Linked DNA regions of Oryzias latipes. The protein of the gene in region 1 interacts with the protein of each later gene in a pairwise test. Links are inferred from orthologs where the notes say so. Each region holds a gene or a part of one and is shown in the gene's direction. Other genes may lie near its edges. The genes, in order: abhd16a, retreg3, probable E3 ubiquitin-protein ligase DTX2 and rnf5.

Region 1 (5,368 bases):
TGAAACCCATGCTGATGCAGGGACAGGCGAAGTTGATCGAAGAGGTACCACAAAGAAAAACATTTCCGCCCTGACTTCATTTAAACATTTGAAACACGCTTAATGGCCGGCCATCCTTTTCTCCTTTCTGTCACAGTATGATGGCCAAAGGAACAAGCTAGTCGCTTGTGACGGTAACGAGATCGACACCATGTTTGTGGATCGAAGGACAGATGGGGGTCACAATGGCAAGACTCTGGTAAATGTCTGAAGTGATTTGCTGTTGGGGTTTTTTTTATGCCTTAGGCCTGTTCCTGACCTAGCAAAGGTCCGATCACGTAACAAACGTTTTTGAAATCTGCCACAGGTTATCTGCTGTGAGGGGAATGCAGGTTTTTATGAGGTGGGCTGCATGAACACCCCTCTGGATGGTAAGGGAAGCGCACATTGTTCTATGAAACGTTTCTAATGTCTTAGCTGAAAGTGTAGTTCAGTATTTGTTGTCGTCCCCTGCAGCTGGATACTCCGTCCTGGGCTGGAACCACCCTGGATTTGGGGACAGCACGGTGAGCAGAGTTGTCATATTGGAGGTTATACTTTAGTATTTCTTTATGCTATGTTGCTAATTGGGTTATTATTTTTCATGGTTAACATGATAACTTCCACTGTAGCCTTGCATTAACTTGATTTTCATTTTCTGAAATTCCTTCACTTGATTTTCTTCTCTTGTAATCTTGATGCTAAAGTTCTTTCACTTCAGTCTGAAGGCTGTTCTTCTCTCAGTGGGAAACAACAGCAGTTGGAATTTCCTGTTTAACCCTGGCACCTTCGCCCAAGGCGCTCCCATATTTGGGAGTGTTGTAAATCCTTACAATGCATTAAAAATCAGCTTTCTGTGGTGTAAAATAGAGTCATGATTGATTCTTTAGAGACTAAATGTTTTCATGTGTATGTATTTTCTCCCTTTCTGTCAGGGAGTGCCGTTTCCCCAGAATGAGGCCAATGCCATGGATGTGGTTATCCAGTTTGCAGTACACAAGCTGGGCTTCCAGCTAAATGATATCATCATCTATGCCTGGTCCATAGGAGGATTCACAGGTACACAGTTGATTAGTTTGAAAACTTTCTTGTGTGGTTCTTCTCACTAACAGTCCAGCTTATGTACTTGTCTGGTAGCCACGTGGGCCGTGATGTCATACCCAGAGATTCAGTCTCTGGTGTTGGACGCCTCCTTTGACGACCTCCTGCCGCTGGCTCTTAAAGTCATGCCTGAGAGTTGGAGTGAGTGCTAAAGATCTATAGCACTGAACCTGCAGTTTCATTTCAATAATTCAAGCTTTTTTTTCTCTTTCCTCTGCCAGGGCCTCTAGTGCAATATACAGTGAGACGATATGTGAACCTGAACAATGCAGAGCAGCTTCTCAAGTGAGTGTAGCGCCCGCCCACTGATCTTACAAAAGAAATGTTGGCAGTAGTGGCACTAAAACTCTTTTGTTTTCAGATACCAGGGACCAGTGCTGCTCATCAGGAGGAGCAGAGATGAAATCATCACCACAGGGTAACTCCAGCACATCCCAAAATACTTTCAGCATCAACCATTCTTCTTTCCTTCTTTTACAGGAAATACACGTTTGATTATTGAATGCATTTTAAAGTTGATTTCTGCACAATTGAGGTGGTATTAAACACTGGGAAATTTTTTAATTATATAGGATGTTTTTGAGGCTCACTAGAAATTTTGCAGATATTTTTTTCACCTTCAGAGATCCTTCTACTGCAGAAAAAGTTAAGGAATTTAACTTTAGCCATTTAACCCATGGAGAAATGCAGGCACAAAGCGCAATGCTTGAAAACTGTAGGTTTGTTTCCTAAAGTTAAAAATAGGAAAACTTACCAAAAAAAGAACTTCAATTAACTTGAGTGTTTTTAATTCCATAGTATTTTGGATGTGTTTTAAAAAAAAAATCTGAGTTAAATGTGCCTTTATTCAGGAGGTAAGATTATTAATCTTTATTTTATCAGCAGGATCAGTTGAGGACAAATTCTCATTTACAATGATGACCTCATAAGAGATTTTTACCAATGATGGATGCAAATAGATGTAATTCTTTGTTGCAGAGTTATTGAACATAATTTCTTTTTTTTCTCCAAAGAAATCAGAGAAATGTAACATAATTTAAGTTCCTAGTGTTTTTGCTCCTCCCTGTGTACTACGGTAAATTAATCCTGCAAATTTGTATAAAATGAGGGGATGATTGTTGGTTTTATTGTTATTCTAATTATTTCTTCCTGGTTTAAGTATAAAAATATTCCAACCACAATACATGCTCTCTTGCAGCCTTCAAAATGTACTGATATAATAAAATATTTCGAATGCCTTCAAGATGTTCTCAGAAATGCGTGCCATCACATCACCTCCTCATTTGTTCCAGGGGCCCAGAAGACATCATGTCCAACAGAGGAAATGACCTTTTGCTTAAGCTGCTTCAGTCCAGGTCAGTCTCTACACCTCAGTTTTGCCAGAAGCACTGTGGATTTGCACTTGTTGAGCCAATCATGTATTAAAAAAAAAAAAGAGAAACTGGCAACGTGTCCATCCTGCTCAGGTATCCCAAAATCATGACGGATGAGGGGATCCGCGTTGTGAAGCAATGGCTTGGAGCCTCCAATCAGTTAGAAGAAGGTAATCAGATTCATGTGTGCATTTGAACTAATTACCATCATAATGAGAAATATATATGACTATACCTCATATTTGGGACATCTGGTTATTACAAACTAACACAAGCTCCCTCTCTCTGCAGCATCTGTGTACAGCGGATATGAAGTGGATGATGGATGGTGCGTGTCTGTGCTGCAGTCCTATCAGACAGACAGAGATGTTTTGTTTCCATGGACTGTCGGTAAGATGCTTCTTTCACTGTTACCGAAGGCAAATGGCACCACAAGCTTCCATGTTTACACTCCCTCTGTCACCAGGTGAGGACATGACTCAAGAGGGAAGGCGGCAGCTGGCGCTCTTCTTGGTATGGAAGTAATTTATTGCTATCAGTGCTTTCAGTCCCAGCTGTATCCCTGTCTGCTTATAGGACGGGCACTTGTCTTTATCTCATTTCTCAGAGCGGGTTTTTTATATAACCTGTTCATCTAATTCGTCTATAGTCTAATTTCTTTTTTTCTTATAATTTAAGCCAACCTCCCCCTACAAAAAAAAGAAATTGCAGCTTTTCAGACATTATCACAAAAAAACACTGTTCTGGTCGCCATAGCAACCAGCTCACCTGTGCTTTCAGGTTGACTAGTGTAATATATTTTACCGTGCTCGGCTTATTGAAGTCATTTAACATCAAACAAGAGGAGTGCCATCAATTACAACTAATGCTGTGCCTTTTCCTCCTCCGGTAATACCTTCTAAATTAGGCTTTATTTACCTCCTGTGTAAACCCTTTAGAGATGCAAGAGATTTGTAAGGCACTGAGCCAGATAGACTCAGCCTAATATAATCAAGCTCTGCACTTTTTGTTCGCCTCCCCTCCCACACATCTAATTCTCCATTCCTCCTCCATCCCTGCTGTGCTTTCTCTCCTCCCAGGCAAGGAAGTACATGCGAAACTTTGAATCGACACACTGCACTCCTCTGCCCGCCTCCGAGTTCCACTCACCGTGGAAGCTGTAACTGAACAAAGGATGCATAAGGGGAACCAAGAGATGCTGGATGACCTGTAGTCAAGTGTGTCTGGACAAGTGTGAATGTACAGCTGTGGGGTTTTGTTTTTTGTTCCAGATTTCCCAAGAAGTTATCAAAACGTCACACGTCGTTTTACGAAGACAGTTTTGTCATTATGTTAACGCTTCTTTTCAAAATATCCACAAGCCATCACTCACTCACTCACTCCATCATTTGTCTGTATTTATAAAGCAAATATAAGTTGATATAAATGACTGCAATTAAAAGAAATGTAAACAATTTGTCTCGATTCAAGATTTGTTCACACACCCTCATCCAGGGACAAGCTGTACTGTAAGTGTTTCAATGAAGCTGAAATTAAATAGGTTTAGCGCTAATAGGAGTGATCGAGTTAGAACGGCAGCAGCAGGAAGGACAGAACATCCTCACATCATTGTTGAAGTGATTTACTGAATTACTTCCTCCACAGAGAATTTAAAAAGTAACATTAACCGGAAAATACATCCTGATTTACATTGGAATAAGGAGTGGAAATTACATCATTTTCCTAAAATTGTCTATGGCTTCTTTGACTTTCTCAAGTTCAGCCTGGCTCTGTCGTAGCTGTGCAGAAAAGAAACAAAAGTATTATTTGCTGGGCATGTGTGCGTCTCACTTTGAAACATCATACAAGCCAATTTCTTTTTTTTCACCTTCTCAGCATCCTGCTCCTGCACCTTCACTGGAACCTTCTCCTTGTAATCACTCTTTGCCATCTTCTCTTGCAGTTTCTCCAGCTGTTTCTCCAAGTCGCCTTTCTTTGTCAGCAGCTTTGTCACTTCCTTTTCCACATCAATAAGACCCTGAGGGGAGAAGGAAACGAAAACACGAGGTGAAAATTGTGATATTATTTTAGATTTGTTAAGACCAAAAAGGAAACAGGAAAGGTTCTGCTAGAGCTGCAGAAAGACAGGCTTAGAACTGTTTCGGTAAAAGAATCAAACACAAGTGAAATTGTAACTACAATGTGCCAGTCAGCACTGGAAAGTGAAATATGCTGGATATTAAATAGGGGTGCGGGGCAACCAGGGAGCATACGGCAGACTGCTGACTCTCACCTTGAGCATAAGGTTGACGGTGCATCTGTCAGAAGCGATAGCCACTGCGCAGCCTTGTGGGACGGGCTCGCTGGCTGTCAGGGGGATGACGGCCTGAGAGTAAGACAAGGTCTGGATCTGTAGACTGTATTTCTGCACCAGGGACACAGTAGCAGAGTCTATGCACTGAAGGTAGCCTGGAAAAGAGATGAGAAACCTATGAAGCCACCAGCTGCTATAATAAACTCATACTAATGAGTTAATACTTTTAAAATACAATGATAGGAATAAAAAATAGAGTAATTTTACAGTCAGCTTTAGTCTTCGTCAGATTGTAGTCAGCTCTGAGCGATCGGATCGTTCTGACCACAGTCATGATGAACTCCATGTTGAGGTCAACTTCCTCGCTGTTCCAGCAGAACTATTAAAAAACAAAACAAAGATGCTTTAAAAACTCAAAACCTTTTCTAAATTTTATCACGGTTTCTTTCTTTACCTCTTTTGAGTCTGGGTATGCCGTCACACAGATGCTGGGCGGGTCAGTCTGAGGCTGTCGGCGTGGTAACCTCTGGTACAGTTCTTCAGTGACGAAGGGCATCAAAGGAGACAGAAGGCGGAGACCCAC
Region 2 (6,198 bases), on another chromosome or scaffold:
AATGTCTGGAACTAAAACTTAAGCTGAAAGCATCAAAAGTAAACTTTTTTATTTATTTATTTATAGATCCCTGTAAATCAGCAACACAACAAAATGTTTTACTTTAAAACTACTATGTATATTATGTAATGTATGTATGTATATATGTAATTACAGTGTGGTAGAGAGTCTAAAATGCATCAAACTTGCCTCCAGACTGTCGCTGCCATCTGCCTCTCGATCAATTATATCAAAGATGTCTTCTTGAATTTTCTTTCCCTGAGAAGAGAAATTGCAGTTTGCAAACAGGTCTACAAAATCTGTGATGAAGATGAGGGGAAGTGACTTGTGTAAATCACCTGGGAATACCCACTGGCCCAGTTGTTACCAGCACCTCCGCCGTGCTCAGAGAGGTAGATGTTCTCGGGGTTGTACAGGTTTGCATAAGGAGAATTGAGAATGGAGTGGATGACGCGAGGCTCCAGATCCAACAGTACAGCGCGAGGGATGTAGTGCTCATCATCAGCCTAAAAAAATTAAAAATAAATAACCAGGGGTTAAATTTAGATATCAGGTAAGATACCTGGTCTCTTAAAAGAGAGACCTTAGAGAATGTCTCTCTTTCTCACTCAAATCTCAAATAAGAGTGCCCTCTAGTGGCTAAATGTGTTGTTATTGAAACAGAAACTTGTCTGCTTACCAACCATTCAAAAGTTAATTATTAATCAACTTGTACAACAATCATTAAAAATATGCAGATTATTTAATACATTTTAACTAGTTCCAACCATAAAATACGATTCAAAATTTGTTTCACTTCACTGCTAAGAAATGAATCAAACATTCATGATAACTGTTTGATCTTGACAATGAAATTGTTGACATTGGTTTTAGTTTGTTTAATTTCAGTTTTTTTTCTTCTGTGTAAAAAAAACTAATATGAAAGTTGCATAAAATGTTTTTTTTACTTTATTAAAGCTGTATAACATTACAGAAATTTATATTAGCAGGTTAGCTTCTTTTTTTTTTTTGGGGGGGGGGGGTATTTCAATTCAATTTCAATTTTATTTGCATAGCCCAAATTCCCAACAACAGTCATCTCGATGGACTTTGTATCGGTAATTGAAAAGTAAAACTTAGAATCAAATTTAAAAGGATCATGAATACATAGAATTCAATAGTGGAAAATACTAAACTAAACTGGCATCCCTGCCCTTAGACCCTCCTTCGGTTATCCAAAGATCTATTGACAGAAGACATATATGATATACTGACAGATCAGTATTTCCGCTCAAGGGTAAATGAATAAAAGTACGTTTTTATTTTTTGGTAGAGTGCACCTAAACCTGTTGTGATCTCAGTCCTGTGGTTAATCTTGCCTTTTGTTGTAATTATTTGTTTCGGGTAGGACCCGTGCTCTTGACTTGGTGAACGTTCACCTGATAGAAGAAGACATCCTTTCTGTCGGTTCCTTCAGTTGCAAACTCCTCCACGATTCCCTCAGGACTGATCCCATGCTCAGCACACAGCTGCTTCCAGAACTCGAACCCGACTGCAAAACGAAAACGGAGAATTAGTATTAGATTACATTCGTTTTTGACTAAACAGTTTCTAGTTTGAGAACACGCAGCTGTTCTGTGAATGACAGCTACTGTTACCTATACTATACTGTTTCTGGACACCATGTTAGCCGTTAGCTAGCCGGAATAGCATCATCACTGCGGTTATTTCCCACCAAAGAGATGTTCAGCTGAAAGGTCCAAGAACCATTTAAGAAGATTTAACCTAACTGTCTAGGTCGAATGGTGGAGAGTCGTCGAACAAAATATAAAGGAAACGGTTCAGAAACTTAACTTAAGGGTATGAAAAAAATGACCTACTTTGATTGCCACATTGTCCAAGCTGAAGAGTTATAATTTCCCGCGGCATGGTTAGTTGCTTTTTATTTTGCTAGCCTGTCTGCTAGCGAAATAATGAAAGCTAGCCCCCAGGTTACACCGATTTTCCCCTGACCAGCAGCGACAACAACAACCCGCTCGTTCCCGCTAACTGGCGTGCTGAATTCTTCTACGGATGTTCATGGGACAATGTTCACGCTCGGTGCTGCCCCCTAGTGTGTTGGAGTACAATACATTTTTTTTAAAGATGGTAATCTTCTCTTTCGAATTTGTTCTTTAAAAACAATTTATACCATTTTGGTTATAATCTTTTTGGGGCCATGCATTTTTTCCGGTTTGATTTTTCTCGTCAAATCGATAAGCACGTTATATTTTGTGCCACAAAGTGACCACAAGTTTAATTAATTCAAACAAAGTTTAGTAAACCCATATAGGCACTAAGTTTTTTAACAGTATTTTACAATATTTTTTCATTGACATGATATGTGTTTCTTGACCAAGCAAACCTTACTACTACCATCAATAGTAATAATAAATCGTCATAGGTTTTTGGTCCAACAAAACAGCATAGACAGATACACAAATTAGTTTCAGTAATCTTTTTTGACATGCATAAACATACATAAGTATAAAGAGGCTTATTTTACAAGGATTGAGGAAAAAAAATATGTCATATAAGAAGAGATTAAAAACAAACCCAATGAATCGTTTATTCCAGAGTTTTAATGAATTGTAGAAAGTCCCATATACATTTGTAGCAAGTCTGCTCTGCTTATCATAAAAGTAATTAAAAAAAGACAAGTATAAATGATTGTAATAAGAAAAAATATATATATATTTTTTTAAATAAATGAGCTTTACAGTTCATTTAAACATACGAAAATATGCTTGAGGTTTTGCCCCAGCCTGGGAAGTTAGTCTGCACTTTTGTACCTGAACGCACTGTGACGCAACTGCTTTCCTGAAATCTGATTGGATCAATCGACGCTGGGAATAGATACGCCATGTTGACATTTTCCGAAGCGACCACAAAATGTATTTTAGATATATATTTTATAATTAGTGTCAGGTTTCTCTGAAACTTTATTTTTAGACCTTGTATAATGTTGTTTTTAACGCTGTAAGAGAAATGTTGTAACATTAACATCAGTGCGGAGTTGTGGTCGCTCACTGTTAGCACTGATAGCCGTTAGCTTGTGTTCTTCTGTCACCGGCGGAGCCCCTCATCAAGCTGTTTACCGGTTTCCACTCAGCTTAATTCTCTCTTTTACAGACTGACAGTGTTCCACAGCAGACACAGTTTGATGGCGTACTCTGGAGCGATGGAAAGCGCCCCTATGGACGATCGTCCCGCGTCTCAGAGTTCAAGCAATTGCCTTCGAAGTCGACCATTCTCCAGCGAAAGAGACGCCCGAGTTCGGGTCGTGAAAGCAGAACTTCAGTCCAAACTGGGGCCCTACGAGCCCGTTCTGACCTACCTGCAGTCTCTCCTGGTGTGGGAGAGACCACTTCACAGCGCCCTGTTCTTTCTTGCTGTAAACACGGCGTTCTGGTGAGTTTGACAAATAAATACACTTTTTTAGAAATTTGTTTGTGATCATTTTCCTGTAAGATAAACTTTAAAACAGGTGAAAATGACAGCAAAGCAAGTAGATGACAGTAAAAGTGTTGCAATTGTCAGTAAAACATCAAACAGGTGGTTCAATAGCTCCAAAACTTGTTTGATTTGAGATATTAGTCCAGTATTTTTCACAAAGGATGTGTTTTGCAACAGACAGGCTTGAGAACTGTAACCTAGACTCTATTCTGTTGAAATATGGATGTTGTGAATTGCTAACTTAAAAATCAAAAGGTTAAATCCAAGATTTGAGCAGTAGCTTAACATTTTAAATGTCAAATATCAGGGTTAAAGTGTGCAGATCTGGCACAAGTTTGGGGTCTGTTAGTGTTCATTCTTGTTTAATCAGAAATCTCTGGAAAAATCTTGTTTATGAACACGTTTTTGACACATCATTTCTATTATTTTTGTTTTTTATCATGTACTCCATACTAAATATATCTTCGACCACGTTGAAAATGAATCTCTTAAATGATGAGTGTTTGGATTCTACATTGGAATAATAAAAGTAACCATGTTTCTTTAAAAACAAAAAGGGGTTTCCTTCCCAAAAAATATGCTCAAAAAACAACAAAAGGCTAATAGTTGTTGACCAGAAACGTCTTAATGGGATTAATCTGAGGATTGGCAGAATCCTGCAGCATTGTTGTTGCCAACAATTCTGTGAAAACCTGAGATCTGAAATTAGAGCAACAGAGACTCGTGTTTAGATCCCAGGCAGTCTTACTCAGCCAAAAACAAAGAGCAGTTTTTTCTGTTTTGTAGCTTAACAACTAGTTCTTTCAGTGGTTTTGTCGTTGATTCAAAACTTTATTTATGGGAAACCCCTCCTAACCAATGATCACTCCTTTTTTTTTTTTTTTACCATTAATTGAATTGTGCGCTTTTTTTTTCTTCTTTAAATTTGATTTAATTCTTTGCATAGTCTTAAGGAAACAGGCAGCTAAAGCGCTGTTATTTGCATGCTTCCGGTTCCAGGTTTTTTGCCTTTACATCGATGCGTCTGCTGTTCATCCTGGCCTCTTCGCTTGCTGTCCTTGTGTCTTTTGACACCTGGAGGAATAAAATCTGGCCAAGGATTAGAGGTGTGTTTTTCTCTTCAAATTGTGGTTCTTTATATTCAGAATGTCCTTTTTTTATGCTTGTTAAAATCTATGTTTACTAAATGCGCGAGTGGAACATCAATCGGCAAACGATAAAGAAAGAAAATGACCAAACTACAGTTTGGGGAACTTTGGAATCTTTCTAATCCACGTGTCTTCATACCTCTCAGTTGTAACGCTTTGTTTCTTTGCTCTTTACAGTCAGAAAACTGGATGAATCTGAAAATGAAAGGTGTGTTTCTGTTATTTCTTCTGCAGCATTCATTGTTCGCTAAAGTGCTTCAGTCCAACATGTCTGTTTCCGCAGCTGGGCCTTGGTGCAGCCCGGCATCCTAAGTGTACCAGAGCTTTGCCATCACCTGGCAGAGGCCTGGGTCAGCGGATCAGTTCTCATGTGCTTCATGGTTCAATTCAAACAACGAAACCCTGGCAATGTAAGGATTACCGCCCAGCACCATGTATTTAATCCTCTTATTCATGTGAACTGCTTCAGTTGATCCACCTGCATTCCCTCAATGAATATTACATGGGTGACGTGCTGTGCAGGCAGTGACTTCTATCTCTGTGTTCTTCTCTGGAGCAGTTCTGCGTTCTGACCTGCGGGTTGTTCACCTGTTTGGCCGTGGTTGGGTGCTACATTTCTGGATTGGTACTGTCCTACGCTGCATGTGAGTCCGAGCAGTTTTACCGGTCCTAACTACCGGTCACGCCCTGCTGCTACACTGTTGGCAGGAAACTCATTTTATGCCAAATGAAAAATATATGAGTGAAACCAGATCTGTGGGGCCCCGACACAAGGTTTGGCCTACGAAGTGATTAAAACAGGGAGGAGGAAGAGGAGGAGGAGGAGGAGGAGGAGAGGACAGGAATCTAAAGAGGTCAGGCGGACAGCAGGTTAATCTCCTAACCTGGAGCTGGTGTTAGACTGCAGAGGGCGGGCCAGTCCACAGCTGTCCGCCTGTCTGTATTCTCAAACCCAACATGTTTGTAGATCTTCATTGATTTTATAGAAAAAACAAAAGCAAAACACTTAAATATCACCATAAGTGTCATGACTTTCCTCCTCCCTCGTTGGCAGTGTTGGTCATCCTCCTGGCTCCTCTGGCAGCATACCATCGAGTCTTTCAGCATGCGTGCATGAAGTTGGAGCCAGTCCTGCAGCGGCTGGATTTCAGCATCCATGGATACATGATGTCAAAGCCCATCGATAATCAGTGTGAGTTTGACGCACACGTTTGTCTTTCAGATCTACGTTCACTGCATTGAACTGAAGTGACCCCATCTGACTGCTTCATTAAAAGCAGTTGATGCTTTACAATTTATGTTCTCCCTTTTAAAAAAAAAAGCATCTTTAAAGGTTTGTTTTGTTTGGACAAAGCTGGATATGGAAATCTGTTATTGCATTTACCAAAGCCGCCTTTTCTTTCACTGTTTCTAAGTTATCTAACGGCGGTGTACGTCTGTCTTTAGTCCTGCGAAGGTCCGTACGTGGTGCAGCCTCAGGTGAAGCCAGCGACAGCGAGGAAGAGTTAGCCGCTTTCTGCCCAACAGTAAGTCTGTTGGTTTCTATTGTCTGTCAGTGTTTGAGGCTGCTCTTGTG
Region 3 (6,140 bases), on another chromosome or scaffold:
CAACCTTTAGGAATTTTAGTTTTAGTGCATTAAACTTCACACGGCAGATTTTCTAACAATACAATGGTGCCTTCGTACCTTTAGGTTCACCTACGGTGGCCCTGAAGTTCAAATCACATCAGCAAATCACCCAAAGCATAAAACCACATTAAAAGTTTACCACGAAAAATTAAAAAAAGCAAAACAAACGATCTGACGGGATGATGATGTTTGTCTACATTTTTGACAGGAAGTTATTTGGTACGAGGCGATGTATTCCAACAGAAGAGATTTCTTGAAGCTTCTAGCCCCGCCCACTGCAACAACTTCTTCCCACGGTTCAGGTAAAACCTCCTTCTGCTTTCCTTCTTCTTCAAAACTCAAACATTTTCATCCAATCAGGGATGTCCAACCATTGTTTTACACTTTCTGTTTTTTTTACTTGTTCTGTCCAACAGCTGAGCACACAGCTGACTGCTGAAGGCCTTTTATGTTGGACAGGTTTGACTGGGCACACAAGGTATATATTTGAATAAACCCCTTTTCCCAGAGAACTCAGGGATCCCTCTTACTCTCCCCACCTTCCTTGTATGTGTATTTGTGTGCATGCATGTGTGTTGGAGTCTATATTGGCACTTATAATTGGCGGGTAGGGCACTGAGGGAACGTCTTCTGCTTGTTGGAGACAGTCTTTCTCTAAAAGGATCTCTGAAGTTGGTTCCTTCCTGTGATGGAAGCAGTCGCTGAAGGAGGAAACGCAGCAGCAGAGGCGGCGTCCTGCAACCATCATTTCAAATCTGACCGTCGGCGTCTTCATCCATGTCTGAAGCACATGAGAAACTAAAGACTTTCCAAAGGGATTTACATTTTTCACTGAAGATTTGATAGAACTTGAAGCTTTTCTGAGGATTTGATTTTTATTTTTGTCTCCTAAGGGATCAATATCGGCTCCTCACAATCTTCTGGACTGGAAGTAAGGAAGGAGGAGGTTTGTGGACAAGCTGTAATCCCAAAGATGCTTCTGCTAACGCTCCATAAAAAGCAGATTTACGGATAATTAAAAACAGTCATTTATATTTGGCAATAAACTCTCTGGACACTGTGTCTTTTTGGAAAATTAAAAATGATGGTAGGACATATATTTTTACTGAAACGGCCTCGTCCCAGTTTGGTTTTCTTTATGATTAAGGTAACTTTATGAAGCGTTTGGGTTTAATCTCCTAAAAGCGTACAGTCTTGCAAAAGGAGAAGTTTGCTGCTGCTGCAAAACTTCAAAACTTTCAGTTCATGAATTGTTAATTTCAGAAAGATCAGGAAGGTTTCCTCATCTTTCATGTGGCGGCTCTAAAGGTGGAAACACTAAACATGAATCCTTCTACCAGCAGTGCATTCAGGGCTTATTCACTTTTTCCAAATGTTTTATGTCTTGTTTCAAATAGAGTAAACCTCAGGGAGGCGTCAGTTTATTAAATGAAAAGGGCCTTTTTGACATTTAAACCTTCAAGGCACCAGAACCTGGGTTTTTTTGCATCGTTTTTCTTTATTTGGGCCTCAGAGGTCCACAGACATTCCCTTTCTGACATGTTCTGCTGAATGAAAGCTCTCATGCAGACAGGTAGGTGTCCTCTCAAACCCAACCGACTCCAGAACCGCGGGTGGACGTCAGTGAAGCCCACGCATCTCAGAGATGATCCGAGCAAACAGGAGACACCGGGGTTTCATTTAAGCCTTTGACGCACTATTGATGCAAACCGATGCTTCTGCTTCATACTCACCTTAAAGAAAAAACAAAGTGTTTTTTCATAAAATTTCCGGGGGTAAACAATTACTTAGTTTTCTTTTATTTTAAAATCTTTTCTTTTTCCCAGTGTCCAAAAAACAAAAGTGTTCTTTTTATGATTTTGTGCTATTTCAAACAACAATAAAAAAAAATTTCACCCAACATTTGCTTTAAGGGATTTCAAACATTTTTGTCTAAACATATATTCTTACGTTGAAATAATAATAAATAATATGATTGTATTATTCAATATTATAGAGTCTCTAATATAATTTCTATTGTCTATGTGGAACTAAGTTTTGAAGTTTAATAATAAAACTGTAATATTTTATGTTTGGAGTACCATTGTACAAATGTAAATACTAAGATCATGAGGACTTGGTTTTAACCAGTTCGGAAAATTGTGACATTCTGACAATTTTTTTTAATGTAATTCTTGTGGCAAATTGAACACATCTTTTATTTTTTTACAGTTCCCTTTGATCCAACAGTCGTAGTTTTCTTTTGCTCAACCTTTCCTCTTCTGAGTATTTTGTCGTACCGTTTTGTCTCCGTTAGGGGGCAGCAGAGTTTTTGAAGATTCCAAAAAGAGGAAGAGGTTGTTGTTTTAAAAGAAGAAGAGTGTGAAGTTCAGGGAGACTTTGTAAACGTAATTTTGAACGGTAATGTGTTCTTCTTGAAAGGTTATTTGTTCTTTGGTTAATAAAGCCGCGTACTCTGGTCTTTGAAGTGTTTGGCTTTAGAATTAAAAAACACACAGATCTACTCAAGAAATGTACATTCTCCCATCTGTCCCCGACTCACCACAGACTTTGAAAAAAAAAGAGGTAATGAAGGACGCTTTTTGTATAGTGGGGTTTAAATGTAAGCAATTTAAAGTCATTTAAACCAGCAACACTAGCAAGTAGATATTTATGTTTGTTTTGTGCTTGCATGTTTTTACAGATTAAAATTCTGTTTTACGAATCTGAGTTGAGCCAACCTGTCATCGGTTTGAATGCAAAAATTCAGAGGGCGCGTGAAGGCAGCTGGTGGAGCAGAGGAGGAACCTTAGCAACGCAGTTGTAAAGCTAGCGTTTCCCCTGATAGAAATGTCAACATGCACCTTGGTGTTCACGGAGAGCGCGTAGTGTTTTACCTGCAGGCCTCTTCATGCTCCCACGTTCATAATGAAGCTCTTTAGTGAGCCAAGCTAGCCCCGCGGACTTTGGCTTTGTCGTAGCCCCGATCGGCTAGCTAGAACGAGCCGCCGTTAGCTTAGCTAGTACCTCGGTCGGTGAATATGGCGATTGTGTCTGGATCGTGTTCCCGGGTGAGCAGCTCCAGAAACGGGCCGTCGGTGTCCGCCGCGCCGTCCCCGTCAGTCGGACAGTCTCAGCCAATGATAGCGGTGTGGGAATGGCAGGACGACCAGGGCTTCTGGCGGCCGTACAGCGGCCAGGTCTGCTCCCACATCGAGCGGTCCCTGTCCCCGCGGGGCCACCGGGGAGCCGGACCCAGCTCCACCAGCGTCTGCCTCGGACAATCAGATCCCAGTCTGTCCCCCTACCTCATCGACATACCGAGCCTGAAGCAGTTTCGACAGGATACAGGTAAACCGCTTCAGCACCACACCTGAAGTCCGGATTCAGATCAGAGATTCTGGTTTCCGTCGTTCATTTTGTCTTTTTAAACTGCATTTCTGAGAAGATGATGTTGGTTCAGTCAGCTGGTCTAGAAAGCAGCAGTACACTTTAAGTTTATTTTATTAAGTATACTTGAGTACACGTATAGCTAGAATACTAGAGACTATGTAGATTTAGTGAAGTAACTGAGTATTTCTTGGAACATTTTGAGTCCAGGAATAGACAGTATGGAAGTGAACTTCAAGTGCATCACTTTTAGTATAGACCAAGTACCTTTTGTAGTACTCTTACAAAGAGTACTGTCTTGCTGAAGGTAAACTCATTTGCGGGTTTTTGTGCAGGAACCACGCGCTCCGTGCGCCGGTCTCTGTTCCCCCAGTCTTCGGGCCTCGGCAGTGGCGTTTACTGGGAATGGGCCAACGATGAAGGGGGCTGGACTCCGTACGAGACCAGAACTTCCATCCTTCTGGAGCACAGTTACCAGGCCCGCCAGGGGACCGCCGACCTGGGCCCTCACGGATACAACTACATTGTGGACCTCACGTCTTTCGCCCAGGTCAACAAATCAACGGGTTTCAGACGGCAGGTTCGTAGACTGGGCAACTCCCCGTTCCCGCTGGCGTCCCCGGGGCCCCCGGCTGTCCCCTTGGGGCCGGCCTGCTCCTGCCAGCAGTGTTTGAGCCACAGCAGCACGGGGCCCATGCCCAGCCGCTCCCGACATTCCTTTTCTTCGGGGAGTCTGAACCGACCCGGCCTGCAGGGACCAGGAAGGGCAGCCGCGACCCACCCCACTTCCGTCTACTCGCCGTATCCCCGGAGGCCCCACTCTGTTGGGGGGATATCCTGGGGCAGCCCCTGGCTCCCCCCTCCCTCTGCCAGTCAGATCTCGGCGTCGCACCTGAGCGGCTCCGCCAGCGCCAACGGGCTCAGGTGGGTTCCGCCTCTCTGTCCGGGGTTTCTGGTATCTGCTAAAACGCTGCCGGTCCCGTTCCAGTCGCCAACACGGATCTGAAGTCACTTTGTGGGGTCAAATGGTTTTACCTGAACAAATGTGGGACAGACATGGATAAAATAGGAACTCTTACATTTTGATTTGATTTGATTTTTGATTTGAAATGGTTTATTTCAAGCAATCAAGGAAGAAAAATACACAAAAACAATACAATCAGCATATTTTATTACATGTTTTATCTTTATCCGGTTCAGAACTTTTATCAGACAGAATTAAGAATCTTTTGGTGTCAATAAATCTCATGATAAAGATGAATTTCTTAATTATTATGTAAAAATAGACATAACTCTATTTTAGAAATAGCAAATGCAGATCAATTATCTAAAATATAAGCTGATTATATTCATTAGAACAATGATGTATATGATTAAAAAATAATACTATATCAGTAAAATAGACATAACACTGTTTCAAAAATCTTCAATATCAAAAATTGATCAAAGTTCAAAAGTTAAAAATATGTGCAAAATTAAGTTTCATTAAGAAAAACCATGAATCCATTTTTGGAGCAAGTGAAGTAATGTAATTAGAAATCACTCATTTTAACCATCTTCGATAATTGATTATGCATTATTTTTATCTTTATTTTATCTTTTTTTTATTTTAAGGTAGTTCTGTGAAATCAAATAAAATGAGAATAAAATCCTTGGTTGTGTCTGAATTCCCACCCTAACCCCAAACTACATAGTGCAGCACTGTGTAGCGCCCTGAATGTTAAAGCGATTCGGACGCCACGCTCACTACTTGTATTTTTTAGACGGCGGATATGACGTCATCGATTTCACAAAGTTAAAATCGAACTGATATGAGCGTTTTTGGACGAGTATTTATGAGTCTACTGTCTTCTGAAGATAAAAACATTAATGATTTATTAAAAAAATACATTTTAATGCATTTTTTTTTTTTTGCCAAAAATTGTTTCGACGCAATGCATTGTGGTCTATATGTGCCGTTTTTTTGCAGACACTTCTGGGAAATTTCAAGGGCACTCCATTTTGACAGCACTAGAAAATCACTATGTAGTGCACTCTATAGGGGTTAGGGCTGGAATTCAGACACAGCCTTTGTTTTGCCACCAACAGTGAGAGGAAAATGCCTTCATGGATGTGATGCATCAATTCTGTAAATACAGCTTTTGTCGGCGTTGAAAGCCGCCCTGCTTTTGGTGGCAGCGAGGATTTGCTCTGCTGGGGTTCTTCCATTTCCCACCCGCTTCTCTTCCTGCCTCATCGCTGAGCCGCCCTGCAGGGCAGCAAAGTGTTTTCTCAGGCTCACTTCCTGTCACTCCTGAGTGCATCGTCTGACCTTCCTTCCTCTTCAAAGCGGTTCCTGTCCTCAGCCGGGCTGAAGATCCAGACCCTCCTGAGTTCTGCTGGATGGGCTTCTTCTCCAGACTTCCACAGTTGTTGCTTGTCCTAATGTTCCCCTTGGAGGTGTCAGGATGCTGCTTCGGAGCCTCAGGAAGCTCCTCCTTCCATCTGGTGGTTCTGCTTCAGTTCCTAAAATGTTCTGATGAAAGCTCCAGAAAGTTCCAGTAAAGGCATTAAAGAGGCAATGTTTGGCATTCCTCCAGAGCTGCTTCTTCTCTTTCCACACAAAGGCAGCTTGAGAGCTCCATACAGCAGCAACTCTCTGGGCTTGGACCGGTACCGGTCCGTGTGACAGTTGGTACCAGGCCGGAGAGAACAAAAACCGTTATTTCTAATCTAATTCTGAAGGAAGTTTTGGAAAAACAACCGACTTC
Region 4 (5,956 bases), on another chromosome or scaffold:
ATAATGTTATTTATATTGTTATACAGATCATGAATGAATGAAACTTTATTCATACAGCACTTTACTACTCCTTGAAGGTACCAAACGGCTTCACAATAAAAAAAGAGATCTAAAATGGGAACGAAAGTTTTAACCTAAAAACTCTAGAATATTACGTTTAAAAAAATTTTTTTCAATCCAAATGTTTTCATCTACATTCCATGTTATTTCTTTCTCACTCCACACATCTGCTCCTGGTCCGGCCCTTCGGTCCAAATTTTATAACCCAATGTGGCCCACAAGTTAAAATAATTGCCCACTCCTGAGATAAACCAACAAGAAAAATGTTCAAAGATTTTTAAAAAGGGTTTGTCACATGGGCCATACTTTAATTTTTATTTGGGAAAAGTAAATTTCCATAAATGGTTTGGTTTAGCAACAGTTTGTTTTCCTCCTCTAGTTGTTTTCCAAATCTGAGGCCATAAGAGACTTTTCTTTTTAAACCCTAAAAATCATACTACAATAAACACAGTAAGTGACATTTAGGTTTTTTGTTGCTGAAAGTCAATAATACCCTTTTATGTTTCAAAATGAACCTTACTGCCGTGTTTCCAGTCATCCCTTCAATGAATGTGTATTGTTTTTGCAATCTAGGGAGTTAAATGTTAAAGAGCAGAAAGTTTTCTGATCCTGACAGTTATATGCAGCACCTTGTGTTCAGATTTTCTTCACTAAACTGAAAATCTATGCGGTTCTGCTTATTAATAAGTGAGCTCTTCGTCCATTTAAATGTACCTGCGTGGCAACAAAGTAATGGTGCGGGTTTGTGTCCTCCAGCATGGACAGCAGGCACTCTGACGCAGGAACCGGGTCCTTGAAGTGAGCACATTTCCTCAGCTGGAACCTCTGCAGAATAATTTTGGCTCCATAAAGCTGTTTTCCGAGAGTATCGAGTTCTTTCAGAGCGCAACTGTGTGTGAAAACGAATAAAACGGATTTAAAAAAAACAACAACAACCAAAGACTCTGAACACAACAACAGAGAATACCATTCGGTTATGTACGTACTTTGTGGTGCACAGCTGCACCTCACCCATTAGATATTTCGGCATTTGCTCTTTAATCTGAATTTTATTCTTCAACGCCGCCTGACAAAAAGTCCCGTCAATGAGGATCTGAAAAGGTTCCCTGAAGCTGAAGTTGTATTTGTAGAAGCTAATCGTTTTCTTGGCTTGTTTCTGTCGTTTGATCTTCATGTTCCGCCTTGAATAAAAAAAGAAATTAGCGAAAGCAAAAACAAAGCTTTAAACTTAAATTAATGTCTTCTTTCTGCAGTCAAAAAGGGTCAAAATAAGATCCTAAATCAGCGTGGAGCTGTACTCAAACGGTTTTGTGCGTAGGCCTAATAGCTCCGGAACGAAACAAAGATGTCTGCTTAAAGTTCCGGTTTTGAAACGGGGATGTTCATAAATGAGTCAATTAAAAAAATAATGTTTTAAATAAAAGACACTGTTTTTCTTTCTTTTAATCTTTAAATCTTTTTAATGTTTGGTTTTCAGATTTAACGGGTTCTGTCAGTTTAAAAAAATGCCTATCCCGGTTAATTTAATACAGTAAATGCAGTTATACATTTAATGTATTGAAGAAGGAAAAAAACGGTTGGGATATATAGTTATAATTTAACTTGAATAACAGAATTTTGAAATGTTAGTTTTTTGAAATTTTTTAGAAACAATTGTTTGTCTTTGTTTGTTATTTACATCCTGATTACTGACTGCCCTATTGTTTGTATTAAATTGATTCAAAAGAACACATCATTTTATGATAATTATCATTGTTGTCATTTCCGTTTGTTTTTTAAACATTTTATTAAAACAAGACACAAGACAATAAGTAAAAGAAAACACTTTAAATACTATGCAACTTGCACCACTGACAGTGAACATTATCAGTCAAGAGGTTAACAAGGTTTAATTAAACTTAATATAGAAAAAAAAACAAGACTCTTTGCTGTTTATTTAAAATCTTCTCAGTGTGCCATTAGTTATTACTGTTGTTGTCAGGTATTTGTGTGTGTATGAGTGTGTGTGTGTGTGTGTGTGTGTGTGTGTGTGCGCGCGTGTTTATGTGTGTATAAGTTTGACACATCACAATATTTGTTTTGTTTTGCCTTTCTTGAATTTATGAATAAGGGTTATTTAAAATAAAACACTACCGGATGTAACCTTAAACATTGGCCTTGCTTCATAGAATAGAAGAGAATAGAACTTTATTGATCCGGTAAAAAGTAATTTATTTTGATACCATAGTGCAATTGAAACCCGCAGATAGATGATAAACATTGAAAATACACTTAAAAAGTAAATAACCACGATAATCATTGTACAGTCTCCATGAGGCGTTTGTATTTACATTTTTAGCCCCGCCCCCCGACTCTTACAGCATTATTTTGACCGGAAACGGAAGTGGTTTCTCAGACAGCAGCAGCAGCCACAACTCAGTCCAAAGTGAAGACTGTACCATCAGTGTCGGACTCGGCTAACGCTAGTACCAGTCGGGCACGAGTGGCTTGGGTTGACTCAGTTCGGATTACTTCCCTTCGCTGTTCCGATAACCGTCATGGCGGCGGCGGATCCCCGCTACTCCAGAGGAGGTTTCCCCGCGGGGGAAAGCAGCAACGACCGCGACGGGCCAGGCGGCGGCAGCGGGGAAAGCGAGCGGGACCGGGCCACCTTCGAATGCAATATTTGTTTGGACACAGCCAGGGACGCTGTCATCAGTATGTGCGGACACCTGTTCTGGTACGAAACCAAAACAGTAGTTATTAGAGTGTGTGGGGGTGTTTTTCCATGATCTTTTGATGTTATTTGCCCGCGCGCGCGCGGCCTTCTTTAACGTCAGCTGTTGACGGCGGAGTCACGCCCCTCGCTGAAAACCACAATAATAATAATATTAAAAATAAGAATAAAGTACAAACTAATATTTTACAGAGGCAGGTCATAACTGTTTTACTGCATTACACCTAAACATTTTTTACAGCATTTTTATCAGCTGTCAGTCAAAGGTGACGTATTAATCTGTGACATATTAACTCTTATTGTAAATGCTTAGTGACCATTTCTAACTTTAACATCAGTCTGTGATGAGCCAAACTTGCTTCAGCTTGTTGCTGTGATTTAATCAGCTATTCTGTTTAAATCCACTTTAATCTGAACTGGCAGCTCACCACATCTGAAAGGAACCTGCGGCCAAAGACTTTCTAGCATTTTCTCCCCCTTGTGATCCAAACTTGCGCAACCTTCAACCTTCATGTTGTCGGTTCACACAAACTCAGTGGTTTTTGTGTGACTAATCTGGGAGTCGCTGATGTGACATCAGGGTCAGCAGGTTCCTATCAGCTGTAATCGAAAGCAGCGAAGGGTTCAGTGTGGAAACAAGCACAGGCTTGGACTTTGGTGGTTTAAGGCGGTTAACACATCAGAGATTGTTTATTGTGCAAAATCCAGAAAAGAATTGATCAAGAAGGACTAAAATCTAAGTGCAGGAAAATATAATCTTTGGAATGTATTGAAGAAGCTGTAAAAAAATGCAAATGTACATTTTCCTTCAACAGTTCTTGCTCATTTGGGGGGGGTTTGCAATAGAATAAAAACAAATCATGAAAGTGATTTATTAAAAATGTTTAACATGTTCTTGTGGCATTTTTCCGATGAAAGAGGACAATTATAGAGAAAATTAAACATTTTCTGAGTATTTTGTTATTCAAATCATTGTGAATCAGGAGCAGAATTTTAAAAAATTCAGTTTGAAAAAGATCGTATTTGTGACAGAAAATAAACTGGGCGGGCCATAAGCTCACAGATTAAGTTGGGGTTGTGTGAGGGGCTGTAAGCCAGCAGGACAGCGTGTAGACAGATGCATGATGGGAAGTGGCATAACAGCACCATCATAATTAAAAGGGAACTATTCATCAATAGATCAGGTTGTAGAGCGACTCTGATTACTGTTGGTTATATTTCCTTTCATTTTCTTTGCTGGCTTTTGTGATGTCACAGCCGATCGTTATTAAAACCGCTTCTCATTTCTCTTTCTGCGCTTCCTGTACTCTGTTTGAAAAGCTGGAAAATGTATATTTGATATGGCTATGATTGTCAGAAGGAGGCGATGAAGCCAGTTTTGTCTTTAAGCTGCTGAACAGAAATAGAAAAAGTTGGTAAAACAGAGAAAATGTTAGACATTCAGGAAACTTTGAGACATTTAAAAAAATAAATCCACACATATATTTGCATTTATTGTATCCATTATATGTCTTTTAATATAGTGTCACTCTTTTTTTAGAAGTTTGTAAATATAAAAACAAGTATTGGTGTGTTTTAGAGAAAATCTGTCCAGTTGAATGAATCGGTACAAACACGCCGTTTTTTTTCTCAGACAGAGGAAGGATTTCTGTTGTAGCTTAACCAGCCGTTGATTGCTGCTACTTAATATAAACAAAAAGAAGAACAAATAAAGTCTAATTAACTTAAAACCCCCAGAGGAAAAACCGCTCCGGAGCTCTCTGGGGGTTAAATCCCGGTCCAGTACCGGATCAAGTTCTGGTGGACCAGCTGGTGCGTGTCTGTGTTTGCAGCTCCCACGGCGGCGTGCGCTGATGTAACGTCGTTGCTATGTTACCCCCCCCCCCCCCCCCCCCCCAAATCTGTACGTAACATGATGAAACTTTGAAGCAAGGAGGTCAGTTGATGACATCAGCTCACCTGCTGCAACATCTCATCAAGCTGCTTGTGGAATAGGATTCATCATCATCTTTGACTTTTAGCTATGCAGTGTCGGATTTTCCACAAACTCTCACTGAAATGTGGTGTATTTTATTGTAAAGTAATATTCTGCTTAGATTAGTTTTTCAAGCCATCTCTGAGATGATTTCATAAACTGGTGTTTGGAGCCAAAAAAAATGCGTCTGACTTCATTGCAAAGGTAATCTGAAAAACACAAAATGATGAGATAAGCAGCTTTTATTTTGAAGGCACAAAGTCCTGCGGCTTCTCAGTTCAAATAAATCAGGTTTTTATCACTTGTTGCAGGTTAAAGTTGGTATTGAAACTCAGGATTTGCTCTGTGTTGATCCTTGATCCTAAATTGACTGCGGGGACGCCGATCCCCGTTTTTTAAACCCAAGCAGTGCAGATTACTGCGCCGGAGTGCTGCTGTGGTTCTGAAAGTCCCGCCCTTCTTGTTGGTTTGCATGCTCCAAGTTCCTTCATGACTAAATCTCAAAGCATTTCTAAAATGTGTAGATTTACGGTGGTTTAATGATATCTCTGCCTTAAAAAAAAAGCAAAAATCTGTTAGAAATGGAGGTTCATTTCAGTTTTCTTCTCATCACACACTAAATTCTTGGAATCAAGGCCAGTTCTGGGGAGCAAAAAGACTCAAACGAGTTCCTGAAATGAGACTTTTTAATGTGAAAGGATCGTAACCATTGCATTTTGGAAAAAGCTTCATGTTTCCTGTCAAAGTCACGAGGCTTCTCCTGGAGCCGGGCGGCTCCCAGAAAACGCCTGAGGGCCGCCGGGGCTGCATGGAGCAGTCCACAGCTTCTCATTGGAGCAGGCTTGGAAGTCATGCAGATTACAGGGATCTGATTCCATTTTTAAAATTGTTTCAAATGTTTTGAGTTAAGATCGAATCATTTCTGACGGATTTATTGTTTGAAATGTCTGTCTAAACTAATAGCCTCCTTTCAAATCTCTGAATCGCAGCAAAATTGCTTTTAGAAGGGAATAATTTGTTGTCTTTTCTCCTGTTTGCAGCTGGCCCTGTCTACATCAGGTGAGTCCATCCTCTGTTCTTTTCCCAAACAGCTTCTGACTCGATCTTTGAAGAGAAATAAAACTGGATCCTTATATTTTTGGAGTTTTTTTGAAAGATTCAGACACATTTCTACAGAAAAACTTAGGCTCAAGGCAGCTTCTTCT

Evidence for each region.
Region 2: the proteins of abhd16a (region 1) and retreg3 interact in binary tests that used the Homo sapiens proteins (3 or more experiments, as listed by UniProt). The link is inferred for Oryzias latipes from reciprocal best matches to the Homo sapiens genes ABHD16A and RETREG3.
Region 3: the proteins of abhd16a (region 1) and probable E3 ubiquitin-protein ligase DTX2 interact in binary tests that used the Homo sapiens proteins (3 or more experiments, as listed by UniProt). The two-hybrid records come from large-scale screens. The link is inferred for Oryzias latipes from reciprocal best matches to the Homo sapiens genes ABHD16A and DTX2.
Region 4: the proteins of abhd16a (region 1) and rnf5 interact in binary tests that used the Homo sapiens proteins (3 or more experiments, as listed by UniProt). The link is inferred for Oryzias latipes from reciprocal best matches to the Homo sapiens genes ABHD16A and RNF5.

What each region holds. Positions count from the first base shown.
Region 1 is NC_019874.2:20,786,603-20,791,970, reverse strand, and holds the end of abhd16a (protein ABHD16A), read left to right. Parts: coding exon 1-44; intron 45-136; coding exon 137-238; intron 239-346; coding exon 347-410; intron 411-495; coding exon 496-545; intron 546-953; coding exon 954-1,077; intron 1,078-1,155; coding exon 1,156-1,260; intron 1,261-1,340; coding exon 1,341-1,404; intron 1,405-1,480; coding exon 1,481-1,537; intron 1,538-2,411; coding exon 2,412-2,474; intron 2,475-2,585; coding exon 2,586-2,662; intron 2,663-2,783; coding exon 2,784-2,882; intron 2,883-2,958; coding exon 2,959-3,005; intron 3,006-3,571; coding exon 3,572-3,655; 3' UTR 3,656-3,946; downstream 3,947-5,368. Other genes in the region: vars (valine--tRNA ligase), read right to left, coding at 4,202-4,270, 4,360-4,509, 4,765-4,940, 5,053-5,164, 5,240-5,368. UniProt on the Homo sapiens protein: Phosphatidylserine (PS) lipase that mediates the hydrolysis of phosphatidylserine to generate lysophosphatidylserine (LPS). LPS constitutes a class of signaling lipids that regulates immunological and neurological processes.
Region 2 is NC_019866.2:6,741,989-6,748,186, forward strand, and holds the start of retreg3 (reticulophagy regulator 3), read left to right. Parts: upstream 1-2,830; 5' UTR 2,831-2,912; exon of another isoform or gene 2,913-3,150; 5' UTR 3,151-3,181; coding exon 3,182-3,429; intron 3,430-4,473; coding exon 4,474-4,580; intron 4,581-4,799; coding exon 4,800-4,830; intron 4,831-4,905; coding exon 4,906-5,032; intron 5,033-5,181; coding exon 5,182-5,266; intron 5,267-5,676; coding exon 5,677-5,814; intron 5,815-6,068; coding exon 6,069-6,148; intron 6,149-6,198. Other genes in the region: tubg1 (tubulin gamma-1 chain), read right to left, coding at 190-258, 339-506, 1,419-1,531, 1,860-1,908. UniProt on the Homo sapiens protein: Endoplasmic reticulum (ER)-anchored autophagy regulator which exists in an inactive state under basal conditions but is activated following cellular stress.
Region 3 is NC_019872.2:28,223,020-28,229,159, forward strand, and holds the start of probable E3 ubiquitin-protein ligase DTX2, read left to right. Parts: upstream 1-2,401; 5' UTR 2,402-3,041; coding exon 3,042-3,351; intron 3,352-3,725; coding exon 3,726-4,314; intron 4,315-6,140. UniProt on the Homo sapiens protein: Regulator of Notch signaling, a signaling pathway involved in cell-cell communications that regulates a broad spectrum of cell-fate determinations.
Region 4 is NC_019869.2:5,391,346-5,397,301, forward strand, and holds the start of rnf5 (E3 ubiquitin-protein ligase RNF5), read left to right. Parts: upstream 1-2,442; 5' UTR 2,443-2,597; coding exon 2,598-2,779; intron 2,780-5,791; coding exon 5,792-5,810; intron 5,811-5,956. Other genes in the region: rRNA-processing protein UTP23 homolog, read right to left, coding at 775-949, 1,047-1,234. UniProt on the Homo sapiens protein: Membrane-bound E3 ubiquitin-protein ligase that mediates ubiquitination of target proteins. May function together with E2 ubiquitin-conjugating enzymes UBE2D1/UBCH5A and UBE2D2/UBC4.